Danio rerio: one gene and its partner. The protein of the gene in region 2 binds, or shares a complex with, the protein of the main gene of each other region. Links are inferred from orthologs where the notes say so. Each region holds a gene or a part of one and is shown on either strand. Other genes may lie near its edges. The genes, in order: inhbaa and acvr2aa.

Region 1 (3,146 bases), on a different chromosome or scaffold from region 2:
TGGTAAAAAAAAATGTTGTACAGTGTCACACTACACAACTACACAAAATCCACAGCCGTATCTCTTATAGACTTTAACCAGTCAATGGGAAAATACAACACCTTCATAATTGCTCAAATAATAAAAGAACAACTAATAGATTGTGTTATCAAGATTTCAGAAAAAAAAATTGAGGGAATTGAGATTGATCACAACAAACTCAAGAGAAAAACTGTCAAATTTACTGTTCCAGCCCCCATAGACGCTACATTAGAAACACCACACGTCAGCGGTAATTTGTTTTTTGTAATTTGATGTAAAGATGATAAACTTAATGCAAAGTATAGCTTTATAAATGCACATACATTTAAAGAAATATTTAAACTTTTTAAGATGTCGATGACTGTTAAATGTGTCATAATTGTGATAGGGTCCATACAGTCTGGCGTGTGCTTTGTGAATTGTTGTTTATCTTAAAATTAGATGTGTGTGTCCTGTGCAAGAAATCACAACCAACACGTTTGTCATCTGTTTTAGTGTACAACCTTTTAACTTTAATGGTGAAGCAAAGGACAAAATACTGTAGAATAAATTAGATTAAAAAAAATAGCCACAAGCACATTTTTGATTTGTACAACAAAGCAATGCAACATATTGGTATCTTGATTTCCATATATACAGAATAAAAAATATATTTTTTATTCTTAGTCCACTTTTTTCAGTGTCAATTATTTTTTTTAATAACAACAAACAAATAAACATACAAAAACATATACAACATGTGTTATTTTTTTCTTCTGAATCTGTTTTTCTGTTTTAATAGTATTTTTTTTTCTCTTTAATGACATTTCGTATGCGCTCCCATTAGGAGCACGCTGAAAATAGTAAACTTTTCTTAGTTCAAAATGTAACACAAACGTTCTCTCAGTCTTTTCTGTTCTTTTTTTTTTTCTTTTCATTTCCCAAATTGCTTCATTTTTTTAAACATTGCACAGTGGTAAAATATTTCATGTCGGGAAGCGGAAATATCAACATCTGCAGAACAAAAACAGTTCCTTTTTTTTAATAGATATATTTTTGTTTGGATCGTCGAAGATCCCTTTAATATTTGGTGGACAGAAATTGCAAATACCTAAATAGTAATTCATCTCCCAAGTCATTAAATATCAATGCTGCACATTCACTTTTGTAACAATTCATGATTAAAAGAAAAACAAACTTTAAAAGGTTGGTTTAAGTGCTGTTTTAACCATTTCGATGGCCAGTCGCGATTGGACTGTGCAGCAGTGCAAAAGCACACACAGGAGTGAGCCGCTGTGGGACGTTGAGAAGCCGTTTTAAAGGTCTTTCGGTTCGCTAACCTGGACATCTTTGTAGGGAGAACAAAGCAACCTTCTGAAAGACATATTGGTATCTTCTGAACAACCGTTCGGAGACAGCCTGATATGGTAGGCAACGCTAAACGAAACTCTTTGGTGTTGAGTAAAAAACCAAAACACTATTTTGTAAAACGCATGTGTACACATGGTCCTCTGATGTAGTGCTAGTCGACTCTTGCTTCTCCTCTAACCTCCCTGTTTTTTTTTTTTTGAACAATCTCATTTGTTAGACTCATGCTATGTAGGTACGTCTGTTCTGAAGTGCTTCTAGTCTTTCTCTATAAACATATTTGTATATGTGGCTACGCTGATCAAAATGTTGATATAGTGCAAAACTGTAAACGTTTTAACGTCTCATATTAAGATAACAAAAAAAAATGTACAGAAACCAAAACAAAATAATAACATTATTAACAATAGTCAGAATAATTAGAATAATAACAATAATAATAATAATAATAATAATATAGAGAAATGTTTGGTTCCAGCAGCCCGTCAAACTTCTTTCAAGTATCTCTCAACAACACACACAAACAGACATGCACACACACACACACACACGTACACAAATACTCCCATAGGCAGACTGCACATACGCACACACTTTTGTACAGACACACACGACAAACATGTATACGTAAAACACACAAACAAGGTATAAAAAGTCAACCGACGTTAACTTTTCTTTTAGTTTGTAAAAGTAAATAGTTAAGAAACAAAACAACACCTTGATGAAAATATATCGTAATACTTGACAAGTTGCATAGTTTTGAGATTTTCTTTTTCAGGCACCTCATCTGTGTGATCTCTCTTCCCGCAGTGCACGTCTGCGCTGCAAAGTAGGCCGCATAAATACTCTCTGACCTCGCTCCCTTTGCTTTGTAACAAAAATATATTATATTTCTTTTTTTTTTTCTCTTTTGAAAGTGCCACAGAGATTACTCTGAGTTACAGATACCCATTGGATTCTAAGATGACCACGCACAAGTGGTCGAGAGAAAGAGAGGCCTGTCTACGCGAGAGTTCGTCTTGAGGCAGTGAGATAGAGATAGAGGAGCTCTCGACTCCTCCCTCTACATCTCGTCTTTTTCCATTCGTTTCGGGACTCAAGTTCTTGCCCCGACCGTCCAACCATGCTCCCTTCCCACCCTTCCTCTTCTCGAAGTGCCCTTACGAGCAGCCGCATTCTTCTACAATCATGTTCTGGATGTCCTTTTTGACGATTTTCTGCTCCTCGTTGTAGTAGAGCATGGACATGGCTCGCAGGCGCGTGGGGACGCAGCAGGACTTGATGTTGGTGAAAGGGCTGTACCCTCGGATACGGTAGTGGCTGATGACCGTGGAGTGGAAGGACAGCGAGTTGCCGGTGATGCTTGCCACGTTGCTGGCGCAGTCGCCTTCGCAGTAGTTGGCGTGGTACCCCGACGGAGCGATGATCCAGTCGTTCCAGCCGATGTCCTTGAAGTTTACGTAAAATTGTCGCTTGCAGCAGACGCGCGCCTTGCCGTCGCATTCCAGGCCTCTCTTGCGACGCCTCCTCAGGGAGAGCTCGTCCATCTGTCGGACTACGGCCATGAGGAACGGCCGATGGGATTGCTCGCGCTCGCTGCCTCCGGGAGACACCAGCACCGGCGTGGCCCGGGCGTCGGCGCACAGCGGGCAGGAGACGCGCAGACTCAGCGTGCTTCCCCCGCGCTGCAGCAACGACTGCACGCTCTCCGATGCCGGAAACGTATGCCAACCGCTGCGCCGCGTGTCCACGGATTTCTCTGCCAGGATTTTCTCCCC
Region 2 (3,835 bases):
ACATTATTTGGGAAATATTTATGAAAGAAAAAAAAAAATTCAAAGAGGGCTCATAATTCTGACTTCAACTGTGTGTGTGTGTGTGTGTGTGTGTGTGTATATATAAGTGCTGTCAATTGATTAAAAAAATTAACTAATTAATCTCACTTTTTAAAAAAATAATCGCGATTAATCACATTTAAAAGACTGAAACTTTTAATTTGGGCTATTCTAGTGTAAAATTAATATAAATGCAAGACAAATACTGTTTAAATACAAAATATAATTCATTACTAGAATTTTTGTTTAACTTGTAACACAGATTATCTTCATGTAAACAACATACCCACAATAAACCATCAAGATCCTGGCTTGACAGCCATATTTATTACAAAAATAAAAACACAGTCATGTTAATGCCATGTTGGATTCTATGTGGACTGCAAAAAAAATGCCAAAATAAAAGCATTGCAGATATGGAAAATTATAATAATAATAATAAAGTATTGAAAATCTGTGCATGCCCTTGAATGGGTTTAGTAACTCCCATTCTATAAAAGCACAACAGCCATATATAGGAAATAACGAGAGTTGACAAATTAAAAAACTAAATTTTTTTATTTATTATTAAAATAAAATTATAATCCACACTGAAAATGTGGGTGCCTGTGTGTTTTGAGGGAGCCTAATAAATAATGAACATAACAAAAACTGCCTGCTGACGTACACAGTTAATGTTGATTAATAAAATAAAGATAAATTATAAAAGCAGAGAAAGTCAGAGACCCTTAAAAACATGTTTACTCAACAATGAAACATCAAATGTAGCTAAAAGATTTTACATTGTCAATCAAATGAACTTAAACAATTGAAAAATGCAACAAATATTTGTTTCTGCCCGAACTACAAAACTAAATGTAAAAAAAAAAAGTTGCTTAAGTTGCACACTAGTTTGGTCATGTATAAATATCATTATAATAACCATATTGTATAAATATTGTCACTATAAGCCTACATCATGCTGACGATCAAACACACAATGTCATGATATCTCCTGCGCTTGTCTTCTGACCGAGTGCATCTTAAAATTCATGACTGACACCCCTCAGAGCTTTAGAAGCGGACATTCTTTATAATTTGTAAAATAAAGACTTGCAGGTTAAGGAAACAGCAGGCAGAAGTTGCCGCGGGCCGTGGTGCAGATTAAAAGGCACAGACCGGCGCGTAAGAAACAGGCGTGACTCTCGGCTATTTTGACCAATACACAACTGGGTTACACAGAGCCCAACATGGAAGTTTGTGATTGAGTCAGCCCAATGTCAATAAAGAAAAAAACCAATGGGCTACAGATGATGTCGCACGGCTGCTCTTTCCGGAAAAGAAACATCTTACTTTCAGAGCGTGATAGCTCACAGCACCGTCAATAACTGAGGCAGAAAAACATGACAATAGTGTTTTATGGGCCGATCAGATCATAAGAAGATGATCAGCCCGGCCCAAAAAAGTACGTCGAAACAGCGGGGAAATTGCCCGGCGTCTGCCCCTGGCCACAACAGGAAAAAAAAAAAAAAAAAAAAAAAAACAAAAAAAAAACTGCGTAATTTTTTTAAACGCGTTAATTATTTCAAATTAATCGCATGCGTTAACGCGTTAATTTTGTATGTATATATATATATATATATATATATATATATATATATATATATATATATATATATACATATATATATATATATATATATATATATATATAAACAGAACCAGCAGTGCATATTTCAGCTAACATCATCAAGCCCAGCATCATACATTTAATCGACCCCTTCCCACAATCAAAACTATAATTCATCCAATTTACGAACAAATGCACCACTAAAAAAAATTGCCAACACGGTTTCATTTTAACCAAGTGTTGTTATAGTCCCTGAAGACTTTTGACTGCTACATTAAAAGCTAATAAAACTTCTTCCATATCAAAAACAAGTTTGGGCTGATCATGATATTTAATATCAGTAGCGCTGCGGGGATGGTTCATCTGTCAGATCTGGCCTACATAACACTGAAACTCAATCGGGGAATTCCAAATGCTCACCTGACACAAAGGTAACCCTTTGTGCAACCATACAAGTCCCACAGCTCACCCCGACACACGCGCTTGTAAATGCATCTATTCAGAGCTGCCAAAGATGTCCTGCAGTGCTCAACAGTAAGGATTTTTCTTCCCCCCTGGCCCAGATTCCTTGACATCACAGGCCAAATCTATAAAGATCTATTGTGTAGTTCAGAAATAGATGTGAATCTTAACACTAGTCCCACACAGAGGGTAAAGGTCACCTGATTGCTCGTGTCTTGTGTTCTGTCAGCTCTGTAATCTCGTGTTTATGGTGGGAGAAGAGGGCATCGAATCACAACAGCGTCCTGACGGATCTCGTCTTGATTTCATCTGACAGTGTGTTTGAGCTTGAGCGAGTGTGACATTGAGCACATTAGATCCCTAAAATCACTGTCGTTCGCATCAACAGGAGGTGCCAGCAGGGGAAATAACAGCTCCCGATAGCACCGCTTTTAGTGGCAAGAAGAACTAAATTCACTGATAGGAGCAGATGGACTTTATAATACAGTGCTGAATGTGGTTCACTGACATAAGTGTTTCAAAAAAAAGAAAATACACCTCTCATTTCATTAAATGTTAATCAAAACGCATGCAAAATATATTAAAGACATTAAGTTACCTGGGTAGGCACCAGAACAGGAGGGTATGCCAACTTGTGATGCCGATACATCCAGAAGGAGAGCAGGACAATGGCTGCAATGCCCATGATGGGCACGATGGAGTACAGAAGGGTACTGAACAGTGGCGGCTTCTGGGTCAAGGGGTTTGATGTCGCTGATGAGAGAAAAAACAACAAAGATCAGCATTAATAAAAACATTTATTAAGTGCACAATTTACACATCTGTTCAATAGTTTGGGGTCAGAAGGATTTTAAATTTGTTTCCGATATTTACATATATCACAAAATGCTATTTATCTGGGATGCCAAAGATGAACTTTCAGCAGCAACTACCTCAGTCTTCAGTGACAGAAGATCCTTCATATATCTAATATGCTGATTTGGGGGAAAAAAATCCTCACCCCAAACTTTTAAACAATATTATATCTCTGACTAATATGTTACTATTTGGGAATAAATGGGAAATATTCTTGGCGCTGTTCACACAGGATATATTTCCATATGTTTTCATAAGCACTATTACTTCAAGTAGATTTTTCATTTGCTCAAGGAAAAATATCAACCGAAAGTTTCACTTCAGTGTGCTCCATCCAGTGTGAAGGTCTCCTTATGCTCCTGTGCTTAAGAAAAACAAATGATTGCTGTATTCTCCTAAATAAGTGATACTACTCACATAATGCTTTATACAAATTATAATATTTACAATATTTATTTTATTATAAAACCACACATAAAAAAATCTTCAGAATATTTTTTCAAGGTTAAATGTAGGTATCTTTCCAAAGAAAACATTTACAGATGCGACAAAAGGTCGCCTAAAATTCTATATGATAATGCCAAATGTAAAAAAAAAGGAGCTGGACATAATTTCTTCTCCGCATTAAGATTTCACAATGTACAAAATGTGTACAGCGCAACAGCTTGTTTAGTGCTCTTTAGTACTTGTTTACATTTTAGACAAGTCAAGTTGTGATACCAAACAAGACCACGTGGACAAAAGAAACTGCTTTGACCTGCCAGCGTGTACTCACTACAGTACCAACACATTTACATGACCAGTTAAATTGTTATCCTGAATGTGCGTGGAAACAATGGGAATGTACTGAAATTTGCCTGTGCATAAATA

What was found.
Region 1: the proteins of acvr2aa (region 2) and inhbaa are in contact, whole or in part, in a crystal structure (PDB 7U5P), measured with the Homo sapiens proteins. The link is inferred for Danio rerio from reciprocal best matches to the Homo sapiens genes ACVR2A and INHBA. Residues at the interface, in NP_001265508.1 of Homo sapiens: Asn36, Asp53, Lys56, Phe61, Thr63, Lys65, Val74, Lys75, Cys78, Trp79, Leu80, Asp81, Asp82, Ile83, Asn84, Val100, Phe102; in NP_002183.1 of Homo sapiens: Ile340, Ala341, Pro342, His346, Arg397, Pro398, Met399, Ser400, Met401, Leu402, Tyr404, Asn409, Ile410, Ile411, Lys412, Asp414, Glu421.

The regions. Positions count from the first base shown.
Region 1 is NC_133199.1:3,242,062-3,245,207, reverse strand, and holds the end of inhbaa (inhibin subunit beta Aa), read right to left. Parts: coding exon 2,529-3,146; 3' UTR 504-2,528; downstream 1-503. UniProt on the Homo sapiens protein: Inhibins/activins are involved in regulating a number of diverse functions such as hypothalamic and pituitary hormone secretion, gonadal hormone secretion, germ cell development and maturation, erythroid differentiation, insulin secretion, nerve cell survival, embryonic axial development or bone growth, depending on their subunit composition.
Region 2 is NC_133184.1:27,030,948-27,034,782, forward strand, and holds part of acvr2aa (activin receptor type-2A precursor), read right to left. Parts: intron 2,864-3,835; coding exon 2,709-2,863; intron 1-2,708. UniProt on the Homo sapiens protein: On ligand binding, forms a receptor complex consisting of two type II and two type I transmembrane serine/threonine kinases.